Linked DNA regions of Macaca fascicularis. The protein of the gene in region 2 interacts with the protein of the main gene of each other region in a pairwise test. Links are inferred from orthologs where the notes say so. Each region holds a gene or a part of one and is shown on either strand. Other genes may lie near its edges.

Evidence for each region.
Region 1: the proteins of DVL2 (region 2) and POLI interact in a two-hybrid assay, tested with the Homo sapiens proteins (2 studies listed by BioGRID and IntAct). The two-hybrid records come from large-scale screens. The link is inferred for Macaca fascicularis from reciprocal best matches to the Homo sapiens genes DVL2 and POLI.

Annotation. Positions count from the first base shown.
Region 1 is NC_088392.1:35,310,117-35,320,340, forward strand, and holds part of POLI (DNA polymerase iota), read right to left. Parts: intron 9,726-10,224; coding exon 9,547-9,725; intron 8,594-9,546; coding exon 8,502-8,593; intron 5,247-8,501; coding exon 5,116-5,246; intron 721-5,115; coding exon 515-720; intron 1-514. UniProt on the Homo sapiens protein: Error-prone DNA polymerase specifically involved in DNA repair. Plays an important role in translesion synthesis, where the normal high-fidelity DNA polymerases cannot proceed and DNA synthesis stalls. Favors Hoogsteen base-pairing in the active site.
Region 2 is NC_088390.1:7,271,539-7,281,646, forward strand, and holds the end of DVL2 (segment polarity protein dishevelled homolog DVL-2), read right to left. Parts: intron 8,576-10,108; coding exon 8,506-8,575; intron 8,205-8,505; coding exon 8,059-8,204; intron 7,929-8,058; coding exon 7,819-7,928; intron 7,717-7,818; coding exon 7,581-7,716; intron 7,451-7,580; coding exon 7,360-7,450; intron 7,217-7,359; coding exon 7,147-7,216; intron 6,988-7,146; coding exon 6,848-6,987; intron 6,760-6,847; coding exon 6,683-6,759; intron 5,771-6,682; coding exon 5,703-5,770; intron 5,509-5,702; coding exon 5,380-5,508; intron 5,261-5,379; coding exon 5,129-5,260; intron 4,995-5,128; coding exon 4,815-4,994; intron 4,373-4,814; coding exon 4,154-4,372; intron 4,047-4,153; coding exon 3,598-4,046; 3' UTR 3,077-3,597; downstream 1-3,076. Other genes in the region: ACADVL (very long-chain specific acyl-CoA dehydrogenase, mitochondrial), read left to right, coding at 111-309, 578-682, 1,395-1,481, 1,564-1,626, 1,716-1,817, 1,893-1,990, 2,068-2,140, 2,227-2,299 and 3 more.

The DNA of each region.
Region 1 (10,224 bases), on a different chromosome or scaffold from region 2:
CCTTTCTATTGTCACACTGTTAACTTTACAACTGTAAAATCAGTAGTCAATTCTATCAATATCGCTATCAAAATTCACTACTATTTCAAAACCAAGAAAATGTAAATACTTTAACAAAAGAATCGTGGGAAAGGTACTGGTAACTCATATGTCAGCTAAAAGACAAAAAGATGTGACTTCTAATACCTGAAAATATTTTAATACTTATGAGCTAATCCATCATATTTTTATAGAGCACATATTTTTATAAAATGTGTTAACAATTCCAAAATAGAGAACCTCCATAATGGTTCTCTCTTTTATCCAGTGATGCTTATGTTTTCTTCTTAGATCACAGTATATTTAAGGCCAGCAACCGTAAGATAGGTATTGTAAACAAGTTAATTACCTAAACAATATCACCCAAAAGAATCTCTAAACTCTATCAAAAAGACAAGCACTTAGATTTGTAATTTAACCACACAAATCCCATAAGGGTATACTTAGAAAACTGAACAAAAAAGAGTATACTTACAAAACTGTGCTTGCCAGAGCATGAAGTTGTTGATAATGATGGCGTTAAATAATAATCAATAAGCCCTCTCTTAGCAGTATTTACTGCTTTAAGGTTGCAGAAGCACACACTTAGAAGGGTAAGGTGAAATGGCATCTTCACATTCACCATATTTCGAAAAAGTTTCATTAGTATATCAACCATTGGGGTCATCACATCATAATTTCCTAAATAAAATGTTAAGAAGATAATAAACATAATTAATATTAAGAGCATAATATATTTTATATTGCTGAGATTAAGAAATTAAAATCCTAAATAAGTATCACTGGGCATCTTGACATTATATAACAAATTAAGACATTTCAACATTAATACCAAATGGTTAAAATTTTTCAAAAGATTTGAAATATGGTATTTCTGGTTATAGTACAGTGATATGGTCAGAAAATCCACTCTCAAAAAGCTACTATAAAACTGAACATTGTCAAAAACAATCATTTTGGTGGAAATCTGAAAATGAACCAAAGGCAAACAAAGTAAGAAGTACTGATTTATGAACAGCTGCTATATGTTAGCTAACAAAGTAGGAGACTTTGTCTGGGACTTCATTGTCTGGGACCGTTCGAATGTCCCTTTACATACCTCAGTTGGTACAGGGTGAAGGCTGCAAAAGTCAGCAGTTTCACTTCTAGAGGAGACAGACCTGATTTGAGGCAGAGGGCAAAAGCCCACACTTAGCAACATTGCCAGTAAAATGAGCAAACTTGATAGGAAATGAATGGGAAGATCCCACAGCTCTGCTAGTCTGAGGCTTTAGTTGTGGTTGGGATGAATGACAGATCAGTGGACCAGCCAGAAATGTCACCAGGAGATTTGGAAATGAGAGAACCAAAGAGGGACTACATAGGCTCCCCTCACACCCTTAGCTGACTAGGAGGCTACATGAAAATAAACGGAAGGCCACAGAGGGCCTAAGCTCTCCATACACTCATTGAAACGGCTACATGCATGTCACGGGGAGATAAAGGGGGCCTAGAAGAAATTAAAATTCAAGAAAAACTTGAAAATGGCCTAATTTTTTTTCTTTTATACTTTAAGTTCTGGGGTACATGTGCACAATGTGTAGGTTTGTTACATAGGTATACATGTGCCCTGTTGGTTTGCTGCACCTATCAACTCACCATTTACATTAGGTATTTCTCCTAATGCTATCCCTCCCTCAGCTCCCCACCCCCCAATAGGCCCCGGTGTGTGATGTTCCCCTCCCTGTGTCCATGTGTCCTCATTGTTCAACTCCCACTTATGAGTGAGAACATGTGGTGTTTGGTTTTCTATCCTTGTGATAGTTTTCTGAGAATGATGGTTTCCAGCTTCATTCATGTCCCTGCAAAGAACATGAACTCATCCTTTCTTACGGCTGCATAGTATTCCATAGTGTGTATGTGCCACATTTTCTTTATCCAGTCTATTACTGATGGATATTTGGGTTGGTTCCAAGCCTTTGCTATTGTGAATAGTGCCGCAATAAACATACACGTGCATGTGTCTTTATAGCAGCATGATTTATAATCCTTTGGGTATATACCCAGTAATGGGATGGCTGGGTCAAATGGAATTTCTAGTTCTAGATCCTTGAGGAATCGCTACACTGTCCTCCACAATGGTTGAACTAATTTACACTCCCACCGACAGTGTAAAAGCATTCCTATTTCTCCAGCATCTGTTATTTCCTGACTTTTTAATAATCGGCATTCTAACTGGCATGAGGTGGTATCTCATTGTGGTTTTGATTTGCATTTCTCTAATGACCAGTGATGATGAGCATTTTTTCATGTGTCTGTTGGCTGCATAAATGTCTTCTTTTGGGAAGTGTCTGTTCGTATCCTTGGCCCACTTGTTGATGGGGTTGTTTGCTTTTTTTTTGTAAATCTGTTTAACTTTTTTGTAGATTCTGGATATTAGCCCTTTGTCAGATGGATAGATTGCAAAAATTTTCTCCCATTCTGTAGTTTGCCTGTTCACTCTGTTGATAGTTTCTTTTGCTGTGCAGAAGCTCTTTAGTTTAATTAGATTCCATTTGTCAATTTTGGCTTTTGCTGCCATTGCTTTCAGTGTTTTAGTCAATGAGGTCTTTGCCCATGCTTATGTCCTGAATGGTATTGTCTAGGTTTTCTTCTAGGGTTTTTATGATTTCAGGTCTAACATTTAAGTCTTTAATCCATCTTGAGTTAAATTTTGTGTAAGGTGTAAGGAAGGGATCCAGTTTTAGCTTTCTACATAAGGCTAGCCAGTTTTCCCAGCACCATTTATTATATAGGGAATCCTTTCTCCATTTCTTGTTTTTGTCAGGTTTGTCAAAGATCATCAGATAGTTGTAGATGTGTGGTTATTTCTGAGGCCTCTGTTCTGTTCCATTGGTCTATACATCTGTTTTGGTACCAGCACCATGCTGTTTTGGTTACTGTAGCCTTGCAGTATAATTTGAAGTAAGGTAGTGTGATGCCTCCAGCTTTGTTCTTTTTGCTTAGGATTGTGTTGGCTATGTGGGCTTTTTTGGTTCCATATGAAATTTAAAGTATTTTTTTCCAATTCTGTGAAGAAAGTCAGTGGTAGCTTGATGGGGATAGCACTAAATCTATAAATTACTTTGGGCAGTATGGGAAAATGGCCTAAATATTTTAAGTCCTTTCCAACCCATACACTTATCCACTGGCAGAGGCAGACAGCTTCCAGACTGTAGTGTTTGAGCAGAACCTTTGCCAAACATTGGCTAACCATGAAACTATACAGACATGGGCAACTTCCCAGAAGTCCATATTAAAATAAAAATTTGAATTAAAAAAAAAAAAAAAAAAAAAGAACACTGAGCAGAGAAATCAGTGGCTACAGAACCCAGGGGAGGTAGATTCTGCAGATTACGTTCAGACAAGTTACCTAAAAAAAAGTACAGGAAAGAAAAAAAAAACCCTACAAGAAAAAATTTTAAATCCACAGTTGCTACAATACATTATCTATGAGGTCTAGTTTTCAATAAAATAGTTCAAAACATGCAAAGAAACAGGAAAGTGTGATACATATTTGGGGGAAAAAGCAGTTAACATAAATTGACTTTGAGGTGGACTTAGCAAAGACTTCAAATTCATTATTATAGATATATCCAAAGAATTAAAGACAACCATGTTTAAAGAATTAAAGCAAAATATAATGAGTACAAAAAAAGGAGAATCTCGATAAAGAAACAAAACCAAACATAAAAACAAAAGACAAACAGAAATTCTAGAGTTAAAAAGCACAGTAACCAAAACCAACAAATCACTACAGGGGCAATGGCAGTTATGAGATACAGATGAATCAGAGACCTTAAAGGCAGCTCAATACAGATTATCTACTTTGTAAGAAAGAACAGAAAAAAAAGATTGCAGAAAAATAAACAGAGCAGCAGAGACCATCATAGGGTGGAATCGGTGTAAGGATAAACATATAGACCAATGAAACAAGAAAGTCAGGAAATAAACTCTTACATTTATGGTCAATTAATTTTTGACAAAGATGCCATGGTAATTCAGTGGGTGAAGAAAAATCTTCAACAAATGATGCAGGAACAACTGGATACCCACATGCAAAGCAAAGAATTAAGTCCCTTACCATATACCACACATAAAAAATTAACTCAAAATGGACATAAACATAAAGCTTAAAAACTATAAAACTTCTAAAAGAAAACAGAATATGTGACCTCTGAGTTAGGCAAAGAATTTTTACATATAACACCAAAAACACTATCCATAAAAGAAAAACCACACTACTATATACCGCTAGAACAACTATAATCGAAGAGACTGACAATACAAATATTGGCAAAAATATGAAAAACTGGAACCTTCATATATTGTTGATGAAAATGTAAATTATTACATGAACTTTGGAAAAAGTTGGCAGTTTCTTAAACAGTTCATGTTCCCATATGATCCAGCAATTCCACTCCTTAAAATCTACCCAAGATAAAGGAAAACATATGCATATGCCCATCCAATGACTTGCACTTAAATGTTCTTCAAAATGGAAACAATCTAAATGCCCATAAAGACTCATGCTATCAGTTATCACAGTTTTGTTCTCTTTGAACTTGGAAAACATTCTTAAATGACTCTTATCTATTTAAAAACCAGGCCAGGTCCAGTGGTTCATGCCCATAATCCGAGCACTGTGGGAGGCTGAGGCAGAAAGATTGCTTGAGCTCAGGAGTTTGAGACCTTGTCTATCCTAAATGTCAAAAAAAGTTAGCCAGGTCTGGTAGCATGCACCTACGGTCCCAGCTACCCGGGAGGCTGGGGTAGAAGAATTGTTTGAGCCGGGGAGACGAAGGCTGCAGTGAGCTATCACAGCACCACTGCACTTCAGCCTTCGTGCAGAGCAAGACCCTGTCTCAAAAAATAAATAAATAAACAAACAAACAAACAACAAAGTTTTCTGGTGAAAATTCCTGATAGAATAAAAGCATTTAATTGCTTGCTAATTCCCTGTGAAGACCCTCCATTTTTGGAGCATATTTCTAGTTCAAAGTTGGCTTGTTTAAGAGTTCAACCTGCTAATGAAACTGTTGGAAAACTAGTCCATACCTGTCCCTAACTTCTGAATTATATGTGATGGAATAGGGCACTGACGACTCTCACGACCACAGTGCTTCTCAGAGGGATATCGACGGATTATTAATCTTACTGTATGAGGCTTCCTTCCATCTTGGCATACTCTAAAAATAAAGAGAAAGTGGAAATAAGGAATTAGAAAAGTATTACCTTTTTAAATTATATAACACCTCATTTATCTAAAGGTGCCAGATTTTGTTAAATATAACAATTATACATATAGTAGATAACAAAATAGTAAGCAATAAAGGTCCCTGAGTATCCAAATAATCATCACAAAGTCTATGCACTAAAACTCTGAATGTTTAGATGTCAAGCTCTCAGGCCTCACTCAGAATTGAGTGCTGTCAGAAATAGAAGAGATATAAGATATAATCAAAACAAGTTGTTTTATAATACAAATTCAAAACAAAACTAAAAGCAACCAATTTTTTTTTTCAAGATGGAATCTCGCTCTGTTGCCCAGGCTGGAGTGTAGTGGCACAATCTCAGCTCACTGCAACCTCCAATTCCCAGGTTCAAGCAGTTTTCCTGCCTCAACCTCCTGAGTAGCTTGGACTACAGGCACGTGTGACCACACCTGGCTAATTTTTGTATTTTTAGTAGAGAGGTGGTTTTGCCATGTTGGCCAGGCTGCTCTCGAACTCCTGACCTCAGGTGATCCCCCACCTCAGCCTCCCAAAATGCTGGGATTACAGACGTAAGTCACCACACCTAGCCAAAAGGCAGCAAATTAAAATCAGCAGGAAATTTAAGAAACTGAATCATTCACTAACAAAAGCAAGTAAGTGAAAAATAACAAAATAACTTTTTTCAAACTTTTTTCTTATGAGATTACCAAAAAAAAGATTTTTTTTTTTACAAAATGAGATTACTCTTGTTAAAGAGTAATCACTATTACCATTATATGATAGCTTATTAGAGCAATATCTTCAAAGATCATATGCTATATTTAGTATATAATTAATATACAATATGTGCACATGCATTTTTAAAAAGAGTTTCATCCAATTGTCTTGGTTTTGGTATTGAAACAAAGGTTTTAATTATATGACAAATTCACTTAAGAAGTACAAAACCTAATTAATGGAAAAAAAGTCATTAAAGGATAACATTTCCCCTTTTATACACATGGCAACGCATATAAAACCAAATCTCAGACATAAAATGCAAATATTGCATATTGTTAAACACACTCAACTTGAAGACTCTGATCTGAAAAAAACAGTTTTGGGCCAGGCACGGTGGCTTATACCTGTAATCTCAACACTTTGGGAAGTTCAGGTAGGAGGATCACTTGAGCCCAGGAGTTCAAGACCAGCCTGGGCAACATAGCGAGACCTCATCTACAAAAATTTAAAAATTAGCTAGGCTTTATGGCAGGTGCTTTCCCAGCTATTCTGGAGGCTGAGGTGGGAGGACTGCTTGAGCCCAGGAGGCTGAGGCTGCAGTGAGCCATGATTGCACTATTGCATTCCAGCCTGGGTGACAGAGCAAGACCCTATCGCAAAAAAATAAAAAATAAAATAGTTCTGTATTAAATAAATTTTTTCTATCTCTTATTGCTTTGTGACAAAACTTCTCGATGGCTGCTTAACTAGGATAATAAAATACCTTAAATGGCTACTAGTTTAAATATCTTCCAGTTAAACGTGTTCTATTAATTATGCAATTCAAAGAGTATGATATGCTAATTAAGACACATTAGAAAAAGGCTGAATCATAAGCAATATTAAACTAGTGCCTAGAGGATGGATTAAAAATAATATGGTTTTTACATTTCTTACATACCTATAGTATTAATCATAACATACTCTAGAGAAAACAAAAGTAATTATACACAAATACACACAGACACTCCTGTAATTTTTTTTTTGCAAGTCACTTAGATGGTGTTATAATTCAGTCACTGAAATAAGGGCCCGTGGTGTGGGAGAAAAGGAGCTGGCAAGCAGAGATACAGATAAATGGTTAATTTCACAGGTTTTGTATTTCACAGGTTTAGAGCACCTGGTCTCACTTCTGGGTTGACTCTTCAAATAAGAGAACCTGTAAAACTTACACTTCTTGCGGTTTTTCTACGTGAAGAACTGTCTCCAAATGTTAGGCATTTCAGAGTAGTCTTCTATTTAGCTGAAGCAAATGACCCAGTTTCACTAGCATACGCGCAGGCCCAGCCTGAGTCATATCACTGAAGCCCAGTCATACAGCCAGCCCCAGCTGCATGCAGCCAACAATGAGCTACATGGCTCTGCTCAAGACATTTGAGTGCCACGTTGCATACAACAGCAAAGTTGGAGGAAATTTCACTTCATCAGTTTTCTCAGACTTAGAACCATCCAAAAACCATTTTCTCTAAATACAGTTAGTCCTCCTAGAATCATTGGAGAAGCACACCTACTCTAAACTGTTAGAGCCCTGAAACCACAATTTGAGAAATTTCTAACAAGAGAAGCAGAAACAAAGAATGGGAAGAAAACAGATAATACTTGTTTGTGGAATATGAATAGTGAGAAATACATGTATAATGACAAGGAGCACCACAAAATTAAATTTCCTTTTCAGTTTATCTTGTGCTACTCATATATTTATAACCCCAGGTGATACTCTTCACATACAGATCAGAAACCCTGCACACACCTGCAGTCACTCACCCTGCTCACACATAGCCCCAGCCAGCCATTCTTTCTCCTTCGACTCTATTTTATTTTACAGTCTGAGGCAAAAGAGATACAAGGGTTCTTCTGCTTCTTCCTTCACTGTTACTTTAATAATTTCCTATCCCCAACAATCACAAATTTATATAGCTGTTCCTGTATCAGGAGTTTTAGAATTATGACAGTATTATTCCTCTTTGCATTTTTTTCTTCTTAATGAAATGCAAGTAACTATTAGCAGAGATAAATGGTTAATTTCACACGTTTTGTATTTCGCATGTATTTGTATTTAGCATGGTACTAACTTAATGAAATTCAAGTAACTATTAGGTTGAGGGCAAAGGCTTTGCAATTGCCACAGGGAAAAATTAAAACTTCTTCTTCTCACCTGAAGACTAGAGTAAGTCTAAGAATGTTAGAAATATCCATAAAACCCCTTTAGGTAACCATCTGCAGCTTTAGATCCATAGGACAACCACACTGTTACTAGAATTAAGACCAATGAATTAAATTTAGGTAAGAGCCCCTATTACCATCTTTACAATAGTTTATAATGCAGAGAAATCACATGATAAATTATTTTTACATTGTTTACTCTCCAGATAATTTGTCAGTTCCAAGATGGAACATCAAATATTCTTTCTATATACCGTATACAGAATGAATATATAGGATGACTTGGCAAAATGGATTGAAAATCACCTGTTTAAAAGACTAGCAAGTAGTTCTTCAATCTTATTTTTAGCTTCAACTTCGGATGAACATTTTTTAAATGAATCTTCTTCACTAAAGGACTATCAAAGAAGCATAAATAAGGATTAGTGCAAACTCTAAGAATTATATCTAATTATTATCAGTGTATAGTCAAATAAATATTCAATACATTCTTTACTAACTTACCTCTTGTCCTTAGTTTCAGCCATTTAGTTCACTTTTATATTAACTGTTTTTTATCTGCAAGCTACTGTACTCACTAGAAAGTTAATATCAAATATTACTAAATTAACAGTTAATATAAAACAGTTAATAAAAAATAATTCAAAGTTAATAAAACTCTAAAGCTCTAGTACCAACTCCAAGCTTTATTGTATGATTATGGCAAGACTTCTTAATCACCTAGGACTTGAATCTAAGTTTATCCTTGGACAAACTTAGACTTATATCCTTGATCTATATCCTTGGACCAGTATATGGTCCTCAAGTTATTTAACCTTTCTAAAGTACAGTATCCTCATCTTGAGAGAGAGAGAATGGAAGGAAGGAAGGAAAGAAGAAAGGTAAGAAAGAATGGACAAACAACCGTACTACCTACCTTGATGCTTCGTTGTGAAGATTAAATGGACTAATGTATTTCAAGCACTCAGGAAAGTGCTTGTCCCATAGCAAAAAAAATCAGTCAATGTTAATTGGGTGATTATACCTTTCCCATTTGCTAAATCACTGGACTACTCTGAAAACAAGATTTTTAAAAGATTAAAATATTTTGCCTCATATATGCATTATAGGCTATTAAGTTGCACTGTCTTCAATCATAGTAGCTAACTTAAGATATCAAAATATCAATGCTTAAGATTCAATTTAAGAATACTTATTAATCCAACCTATTAATAATAAATCAGCCTTCTAATAGGAAAGAGATCACATACTAAGCAAACTAGAATAGTAAGAACATGGTACTGTAACTAGAAATCTTTATCTCAAATAATGTGATAACCAGTACTTAATTAAAATAAATATCATCGTGTACCTGCGGTGGTCCTGAGGGTATCACATGGGAGTTATCCTCTCCAAAACTGAGCTTCTGGATACGCTGAGCAAGTGAAATTCCTAATTCTTTTTCTAAAATTTTGGATGAAAAGGTTTGGAGATCATGCACACTATTGATACCCAGTGCTTCAAGACATTTGGCAGTTTTATAGCCAATACCTAAATAAAAAGAAGTGCATACAAAGTTAAAAATAGCTTTTCTCCTTAAAACAAAGCTAATTAAAATATTATAAATATATCAATCATATCTTTAAATTCTATAATTTACACAGTAGTCCCCCCTTATCCACAGGGGATACATTCTAAGACCTTCAGTGGATACCTGAAACCATGGACAGTATCAAACCCTATATACATACAGTACTGTTTTTTCCATTACATATATACCTATGATAAAGTTTAATTTATAAATTAGGCACAATAAGAGGTTAACAATAATAATAAAATAGAACTACAACAATATACTATATACAAGTTATGTGAATGTGGTCTCTGCCTCCCTCTCTCAAAATATCTTAGTATTTTCAAACCACAGTTGACTGCAGGTAACAGAAATTGTGAAAAGTGAAACTGCAGATAACGGGGGACTACTGTATTTTGCAAAGATCAAACTCCATTGCAAACTAGGTTGCTGTTCTTCCACTCAGGGCTCCTGAAT
Region 2 (10,108 bases):
TAGTCTAGGAGTTGTAATTCCTCCCTAGTGCATAAAGAGCGAAGAAGCAGTTTTTCCCCACTGACAAGCTGTTGAACACACCTCTGCTTTCCCACATTGCCCTGACACAGTGGGCCCCCTGAGAAGAAGATGGGCATCAAGGCTTCAAACACAGCAGAGGTGTTTTTTGATGGAGTACGGGTGCCATCGGAGAATGTGCTGGGTGAGGTTGGGAGTGGCTTCAAGGTCGCCATGCACATCCTCAACAATGGAAGGTTTGGCATGGCTGCGGCCCTGGCAGGTACCATGAGAGGCATCATTACTAAGGCGGTGAGTACCCTGCCCAAGTCCCCAGGTAACCCAAACAGTAGTCTCACTGTCCCCCTTGCCATGTGTCCCTGATCACTTGCAGGCACTCCCTACACCAGAAACCCCTCCCCTACCAGCAGCCCCAGACTTGTGAGCTTAGGTCTCCATCCAGCGTAGACTGAACTCTGGTTGTATGCAAAGCCCATCCCTGTGGCGCAAGCCCAGCCCCTGTCTAGGGAGACTGCAGAACCACACTGAACCAAAGTGGAATACATGGACCCTCTTCCAGGTAGATTATGCCACTAATCGTATCCAGTTTGGGGAGAAAATTCACAACTTTGGGCTGATCCAGGAGAAGCTGGCCCGGATGGTTATGCTGCAGTATGTAACTGAGGTGAGGGCCTCCCAAGCTCCTCTCCCTGAAGCCCTGGGGCTTTCTTCCCAGTTGGGTCAGACTACAACCCCCAGCAGCACCTGGGGCAGTGGGTCTCCAGCTTTACACCAATGCCCTAGGGGATGCGGGGAGGCATAGTCAGCTCAGCTTCTGCCGAAGGAAAAGAGCAATGATGTTCTGCTCAGGTGCCTGCCAGCAGTACCAGAAGTTAATTCTACCCCATCCCTTACGTCCACCCCTTTTAAGAAAACAAATACTGCCCGGGCGCGATGGCTCACGCCTGTAATCCCAGCACTGTGGGAGGCTGAGGCGGGCGGATCACGAGGTCAGGAGATCGAGACCATCCTGGCTAACACAGTGAAACTCCGTCTCTACTAAAAATACAAAAAAATTAGCCGGGCGTAGTGGCAGGCGCCTGTAGTCCCAGCTACTCGGGAGGCTGAGGCAGGAGAATGGCGCGAACCCGAGAGGTGGAGCTTGCAGAGCTGAGATTGTGCCACTGCACCACCCCAGCCTGGGCAACAGAGCGAGACTATGGGAAAAAAAAAAAAAAAACAAATACCTGGAAGCGCCTGATGAACTGACCCAGAACAACTATTTGCCTGACCTAACAAGCTAGGTCATCCCTAATCTTGGAGATCTGGGTGATGAAGCCAAGTCTGACAAAGCCCTTTGCAATTTTCCTTCCCATGTCCCAACCATGCAACCTCAGTCCATGGCTTACATGGTGAGTGCTAACATGGACCAGGGATCAACGGACTTCCAGATAGAGGCCGCCATCAGCAAAATCTTCGGCTCGGTGAGGTCCCAGGCATGCTGGGAGGGAGTCCAGTTTGGGAGCTCAGCTCCCACAACCAGTCTCATCTGTTCTTTGTCCCTAGGAGGCAGCCTGGAAGGTGACAGATGAATGCATCCAAATCATGGGGGGTATGGGCTTCATGAAGGTACAGGACGGTCTTCTGAGCCTCGTTTGGGCCAGGGGTGGGTAGGCACATCTCAGCAGGGGCATATAATTTGTGTGGCCCTGTGCTAGGAACCTGGAGTAGAGCGTGTGCTCCGAGATCTTCGCATCTTCCGAATCTTTGAGGGGACAAATGACATCCTTCGGCTGTTTGTGGCTCTGCAGGGCTGTATGGTAAGAGGGAGAATTGGGTGGGGGTAGAGGTGGGGAGGACAGTGAGTCCTGACTGCTGGACCCTCTTCCCCATAGGACAAAGGAAAGGAGCTCTCTGGGCTTGGCAGTGCTCTAAAGAATCCCTTTGGGAATGCTGGCCTCCTGCTGGGAGAGGCAGGCAAACAGCTAAGGCGGTAGGCTTAGGGTCAGGGCCAGGGGAGGGCAGGGCAGTGTATGACAACTAACCAGTCATTCTCCCTCTTCCTCTCAGGCGGGCAGGGCTGGGCAGCGGCCTGAGTCTCAGTGGAATTGTCCACCCGGAGTTGAGTCGCAGCGGTGAGCTGGTAAGTGGCCAGGGGTCCAGGAGAGCCTGCGTCAGGGACTGTAGCCGACAGCCCCTCTGAGCCCTGCACTGTCCCCATCTCTTCAGGCAGTACAGGCTCTGGAGCAGTTTGCCACTGTGGTGGAGGCCAAGTTGATAAAACACAAGAAGGGGATTGTCAGTGAGTGAGCTCTACACCCTTCCGCCCCTCCCTTTCCTCTCCTTGAGACTAATGCCCCCACCCCCACCCCACCTACCCGGCAGATGAGCAGTTTCTGCTGCAGCGGCTGGCAGACGGGGCCATCGACCTCTATGCCATGGTGGTGGTTCTCTCGAGGTGAGGAGGCAGGCGGGGAATGCCTGAGCCGCAGGGGGCCTGGGCCTGGATCCCAGCCGGCCCAGATTTATTTTCATCTCCTGCTTCCTGCCAGGGCTTCAAGATCCCTGAGTGAGGGCCACCACACGGCCCAGCATGAGAAAATGCTCTGTGACACCTGGTGTATCGAGGTGAGACTCGGGGCTGCCAAGCTCAGGTGAGGGCTAGAGGTGCAGGCCCAACCCTCCTTCCCTCTCCCCAGGCTGCAGCCCGGATCCGAGAGGGCATGGCCGCCCTGCAGTCTGACCCCCGGCAGCATGAGCTCTACCGCAACTTCAAAAGCATCTCCAAGGCCTTGGTGGAGCGGGGTGGTGTGGTCACCAGCAACCCACTTGGCTTCTGAATACTCCTGGCCAGGGCCTGGCCCGGTTATGTGCCTTTCCTCAAGCCAAAGCCCCTCTCCTTAGGGCCCTGGTTTGTCCCGGAGGGGGCCTAGTATTCCCAGGACTGTGCCTGCTCTCAAGAGCACTTACTGCCTCGAAAATAATAAAAATTTCTAACCAGTCATGCTTTGCTCCTGTGTGTCCGTTCTTTCCCTCTGCTGCCTGCCTCCCTCCCAAAGAAAGGAGCCAGAGGCGTGGGGAGTTTGCCTCTATTGCTTTATTTGGTGTTTTATACAAGTGACTAAAATAAATAGAGTAACAAAGGCAGCTACATGGCCCAAATCTCCCAGCTTCCTCAGGCTGCTGTCTAGGGTGCCTAACCCCAGGGTACCACTGACCACCCCCAAACCTGCACAGGGCAAGGCTATGGGTAACTGGAGGAGGAGGTCACATTCTGGGGTTAGAAGGGGCCCAACGGACGGGATTTTTCATATAAAAGAGAAAATGCCTATTTAAAAAGTCCCAAAAATGTAAGAAACTCTATTTTAACCCCCAAAAAGACTTATTAAAAAAACAAAGCTAAAAATAATCAAAGGTCCCTTGTCTACCCGAGGGAAGGGGGAGGAACCAGGCACTGCTGGTGAGAGTCACAGTGGCCACAATCTCCTGTATGGCAGCAGCTGCTAGGCTGAGCCCAGGCACTGTAAGAGCAAGCACATGATGGCCAGGACAGCCAGTCACACACCAGGAGCGCCAGGCCAAGCCTGGCCCCACAGTGGGCTACATAACATCCACAAAGAACTCGCTGGGATTGCCCATGGCCATGTGGAAGCTTTGGCGGCTGGCTGTCAGTTCTGGCGGCACAGAGCCCAGGTCTCTGACTGGAGGGGCCCCCGGAGGCTGCACTGCTGGAGGGACTGGAGGTGGGGGTGGGGGCATCATGACCACCATCATGGGGTTGTAGGGGAGGGCCATGCCAGGGGGTGGTCCATAAGGATGGAGCCCCGAGTGGGCTCGGAGATTAGGGGCACCCCCAGCTGAGCCTCTGGATGGAGGAGGGCCCCCATCGCCAGTCCCACTTGGTTCCCCACCCCGCCGAAGGCTGCCCCCTCGGCTGGAGGGCTCGGACTCACTGCCACTGCCGGACTTGGACTCGGGGGCCCGCTCCTCGGGCCTCCCTGTGCGCCCTGCCCCCCCATCACTCCGGGTCGACCCACTGCTCCGGCTGCCTGTGGAGGGAGGGGAGGGGCAACTAAGTCCTCACCCAGGCTCCTCCCTGGCTCCCCTCTGATCCACCCTCAGACCCTGGCCGTACAGGTATGTGGGGATGACTTACCCTCACTGTGCTGGCTGCTGGCACTGCCCCCACCAAAGGTATAAGATGAAAGTTCATGGTACGGTGGGGGCTGCGGGCTGTAGGGGTGTGGGGCCGGGTATTGGTAGGAGAAAGTGGGCAGCAAGGGCCAGGGGGTGGCCCCAGGCAGAGGAGCCAGGGTGTCCTGGTCGGAAGCCCCACTGGAGCCATCGTTGTCATTGAGAGACAGGTTGACTAGGTCTGGAAAACAAGGGAAGTGAGGAAGAAATCACTGCTTCAAGAGGCTAAGGCCCCAAGACACGGAATGGAGAGCCCAGACCCACCCACGATGGGGCTCAAAACAGGGGTTCACAGGGGTCTCTTGACAGGAAACTCCCATCTACTTCTGCCATGAGGGCAGGGGCACAGCCAGGGCCACCACTAGCCCATGTCTTTGTGGGACTCAGGAGGATGTGCACCTTCCCCCGGTGGACACAGTCCTGCACCTGGCGCGTGGCTTGTCCAGCAGCGCATGGATGGATGCCAGCCACGATCCTCAGCCAATGCAGGACCTAGTGCGGGACACACGCTGCTCGACCATCCATCGTGGCCCTGGCTGCAGTTTCTGGGCTAGGTCTAGGGTTGGAGAGGCAGAACAAGGCAGGCAAAGCCACACTCCCAGAGTTGGGGCAGAGGGACTCACAGCTCTCACAGCCACCACTGAGGTCTCCGAAGACGTAATAGCACTGTTCAGAGAAGGTGATCTTGTTGACGGTGTGTCGGATCAGGCCCGCTTTGAGCAGCCCACTGGCATACTTGCGGGCCTCCCGCCGCTCAGGAAAGCCCTCCACGTGATGGTAGAGCCAGTCAACCACATCCGAGCCTGGGAGCATCCACAGTGGAAAAAGGCCTCAGGTTCTCCTTCCAACTCCTGCTCTCGCCTCTGCCTGTGCCACTCCCGGCTTTGGCTGCCTCCTCCTCCCTTTCTCCAGCCACCTGCCCAGGGCCCAGCCGTACCCAGAAAGGCATTAGGGATGGTGATCTTGAGCCACATGCGGTCCCGGACTTCCAGTCCAGACTCTGGAGCTGCCATGGCCTTGGTCACCGATGCCATGTCCGTATGGATGGAGAGACCCCGGCCCTCACAGCCTGGCAAAGGAGACCACAGGGAATGAGAGTCAGGGATCACTCCCACAAAGGCAATGGGTCAGACCACTGCAGGACAGCCTTCTGCTGGGAGGGTGGGATGCGGTGGGCTGGTGGCTCACCATCAGGCAAAGAGGATCCAGATGTAATGGTGCTCATGGAGGAGGAGCCCGGATAGGCTGGGAAGGTGCCAGTCAGAGCCGCAGAGTGGGACACCCAGGCAGCAGGGTCAATTGGCTGGATGGGCTCATCTGGGACAGAGATGGCACCAAAATGACCCATTCTCAGTCCCCAAAAGCCAGCCCAGTCCCTCCCTGACTCAGCCTCCTGTTCCACCTCTGCCTGGACCCTCCTCCCACCCACTCCCCATGACCAGAGGTCCAGCCCCAGCCTCCTGGCCAGCCCCCACCCCCAACTTCAGGCCCCCTCCCTGAGTGTCACTCACTTCTCGGGAGAGTGAAATAGGCCTGAGGAGAGGGATCCCAGCACTTGGCCACAGTCAGCACAATGGGGCTACGGGGAAGAGAAGTCCAGTCAAGGGCGCAGGGGAAGAGGAGGCCTCAGGAGAGTGGGGGCCTGAAGCAAGGATGGATTAAGAGACACAAAGAGAAGGAGAAGCAAGCACATCGCGGCTGGGCTGGAGAAGGTGAGGGTGGAAGGCACCACAATGCGGATGACTCATCAACATGGAAAACTCTTAAAAACATACTGCCAAATGAGACAAGAGAGTACACGCTGTACAATTCCATTCACAGAAAGACCAAAAACAGGTAAAATGAAACCGTGCTGTTCAAGGATACATGCAAGAATGGTAACTATCGAGTGAGGCAAAGCTCTCCTCTGTTATGGTGATAGCCAAAGAAGTCAGGAGAGTGACCACCCCTGGGGGAGGGAGGCATTTGGGAGCAGGAAGGGACATCTGGGGAGGAAGTTCTAGAATATCAGCAATCTCCTATTTGATGGTCTAAGTGGCAGTGACATGGATATTCACTCTAGTATTGATACGTCACACATTTGTTTCACGTACTTTCAATGTTATGTCTCAGCACTTTTTTTTTTTTTTTGAGATGGGAGTCTCGCTCTGTCGCTCAGGTTGGAGTGCAGCGGTGTGATCTCGGTTCACTGCAACCTCCGCCCCCTGGGGTTCAAGTGATTCTCCTGTCTCAGCCTCCTCACTAGCTGGGACTACAGGCGTGCGCCACCACACCCACTTAATTTTTGTATTTTTAGTAGAGACAGGGTTTCACCATGTTGGTCAGGCTGGTCTCGAACTCCTGACCTCTGGTGATCCACCCATCTCGGACTCCCAAAGTTCTGGGATTACAGGCATGAGCCACCACGCCTTACTACTTATTAAAATTGCAAAACAAAACATAAAAGAGAAAAAAAGAGAACTGAGGACCTGCAACCTGCTTGGCAACTTACCCAGGCTTGTGCACAATGTCCCTCAGCACCCGCACGGCGTCATCATTGCTCATGTTCTCAAAGTTCATGTCATTCACCTGGAAGCAGGGGAAGTGGGTCAGAGGCATGGTGGGAGAGGCTGAGGGCTCCCGTGCAGGGCAGCTCGGTGGCCACACCCCAGCACACCTGCAAAAGCATGTCCCCTGGCTCAATGCGTCCGTCGGCCGCCACAGCCCCACCCTTCATGATGGAGCCAATGTAGATGCCTCCGTCTCCCCGCTCATTGCTTTGGCCCACAATGGAGATACCCAGGAAGTTGTACTTCTCTGTGGAGAGAGGCCATGTGAGGAGAGGAGGCCCCCGCGGCAGGACCCCCAGAACCCTAGAGAGAGAGGCCATGTGAGGAGAGGAGCCCCAGCCGCAGGACCCTTGGAACCCTAGAGACCAGGCCCTCCCCACGCCCTAGCCACAGGCTCTCCCCATACCCATGTTTAGCGTGACTGTGATGATATTGAGAGACATGGTGGAATCTGTGACGCTGCTGAAGGACGATGTCTGTGGTGGGAAAAGAAGGAGCTAGAGTGCCCTTCAATGACCCAGGGTCAACCCTGGGGTGCTGCCAGTGTCCAGGCACCACCCAAACCAAAGCCTATGCCCCACCTTCTCCCAGCACCAGCCTTCCCGTGGGAACCCCTCACCCTCTCCAGGCGGGGTGGCCGCTGCTTCCTCCGCCGTCGGTGGCGCTTAAGGAGGCGGGAGGCACTGCTCTGCTCCGTGGAGCTGCTGAACCTGCCAGGAGGTTGGAAGGAGAGCAAACGTAGGCCAAAGTGGTCATGGGGCCAAGAGAAAGAACCAGAGGATTGACTGGAGGAGAAGAAAGGGGGCTGGGTGCGCTGGGGAGAGCTGTGCGGAGCCACACCTGCTCATGGTGTCCTCCTCGTCAGAGTCCCCCAGGCTGGTACTCTCCAGCTCACTGGTCATGAGGGTAGAGGAGCTCTCATATCCCGCCAGGTGGCGCTCCAGCCTTGAGGGGCCACCAGTCCTGTGGCCCCCAGCTGCATATGGACAGGAAGCTCAGGAACCAAACTTCCCCCTGCTCACCCCACCAAGGCTGGGGTCTGGCCCAGCCCTTCCCAGCCCCCAGGCCTGCCCCTCACCGCCATGCTCACTGCTGTCTCTCCTGCGAGGCCGCTCCCGCCTCAGTGACACTACTGACTCGGTTTCTGTCTCAGGCTCCAGATTCTCATGGCTGCTGGACACATTAGGGCTGGACAGGCAGAGATGGTTTCCAATCCATATCAGGAGAACAGGGTTCCGGATCCCAGGCGTACCCTACCAAAAGGCCTGGGTTCCCTCCTCACCTCCCTCCCTCGAAGTCAAGAATCAGAAGGACTCACTGAAAGGATGGAGGCCTTGAGTCCCCAATGCCGCTGGTCCTCTCGGGTGGCAAAGGGGGTAAAGGTGGGGCTGGAGGCGCCAGTTCTGCCCGAGGCTCGTGGGCTGGAGGAGCCATCTCGGGTTGGGGATTATCTGAGGACACCAGCTAGAAGGGTGCAAACAATAAACAGTGGCGCTCAGCTGGGAGTCGGGGTGTGACAGGTTGCAGTAAGTGAAAGAACGAAAAAGGGTCTCAGAGAGCTGGAGAAGAGCAAAATAACCTAGCAAGTATTAGAGACTCCAGAAGGAGAAGGCTGAGGGCCTCTCACTGGCTCTCCAAACAGATAAGAGGTAAAGAGCCAGGGCTGCTAATACCTGGCCTGGGAGAGGGCTACAGAAACGGACTGAGGCCTGGGGAAGCTTGGAAATGCAGAGGGGACCCAGCCCTCGGCGTCTGCACCTCTTACCCAGGATACCACCCTTCCGTTGAAGCAGGGGAGGCGGGCGTTGTCATCTGAAATTTCTTCCTTCACCACTCTGCCAAGAGACAAGGTGGAGGTCAGTGAGCTGGACCAACCACCCCCACCCCCACCCCCATCAAAGTTCCTCCCAATCTTCACCGGGCTCCAGGATGCTGACTTTCTCCCGCCCTGTTCAGGTCTTCTCTTACATTGAAAAAACTCACTCTGACACCTAAGAAATCTCCAAACTCAATCCCCTTTCCTTATTTCTCCTCTCCCTAACGCACCCTCAGGGGCGTAGTGCTGCTCCAAAGACTTGACTGAGTCTGATTCAAACCTCTCAGTACAATTTCAAAGGCAATCCCCTATGCTGATGCAGCTGCCTAAGATACCTATCTAATGAGACTGGCTGGTAGCCTCCTCTCAAGCCCATCCCTGTTCCTTACAAACCTTCCAAAAAGGCCGGGCACGGTGGCTCATGCCTGTAATGCTAAAACTTTGGGAGGCTGAGGTGGGCGGATCACCTGAGGTCAGGAGTTCAAGACCAGCCTGGCCAACATGGTGAAACCTCGTCTCTACTAAAATATAAAAATTAGCCAGGCATGATGGTGGGTGCCTATAATCCCAGCTACTCAGGAGACTGAGACGGGAGAGTTGCTTGAACCCAGGAGACAGTGGTTGCAGTGAGCCAAGACTGTGCCACTGCACTCCAGCCTGGGCGGCTGAGCAAGAATCTGTCTCAAAAAAAAAAAAAAAAAAAAAAAAAACCTTCCAAAAAAAGGCTTCGGTCCTCAACCAAGTCTCTACTTTTATACTTGCCTTTAGTTTTCACTAATTCATTTCCAGAAGACTGTCCTTTCTTGAGTAAAAACACCCATTAGAGGCCAGGCATAGTGGCTCACACCTGTAATCCCAGCACTTTGAGAGGCCAAAGTGGGTGGATTACCTGAGGCCAGGAGCTGGCCAACATGATGAAACCCTGTCTCTCCTAAAAATACAAAAATGAGCCGGGCACGGTGGTGCACACTATAATCCCAACTACTCCGGAAGCCGAAGTAGGAGAATCGCTTGAACTCAGGAGGCGGAGGTTGCAGTGAGCCGAGATTGCGCCACTGCACTCCAGCCTGGGCGACAGAGTGAGATTCCACCTCAAACAAACAAAAAACAACAAAAAACAAAACCACCCACCATTAGATCAAACAAACAATGGAAGCTCCTCATTAGACTGAAAGCTCCCAAGGAGAGAGCAAGCTGGCGCTCCCATTCCCCTGTGCCTCATCTGGCACAAAATTCGGCACGAAGCAATCTGCTCAGCCTGACAGATCCCAAAGCCCAGCCTTGGGGTCATCTCTCCAATGGGTTCCCTGTGGTGGACTGGACTTGCCCCTTCTTCTTGACCACGACATCAAACCATGAACACTTACTCTGATCAACACCATGTCCTGGCCACACACCACACACTGACACTTAGGCATTAACAAATACTGTCAACTAAATGAATAAACATATAAAGCATCAGACTCTCTGCCCTGGTTGTTTCTCTCTCTCTTTCCACACACACCCTTGCCGCCAAATTAGGACACCTTGTCTAATTAACCCATTAGCCTAA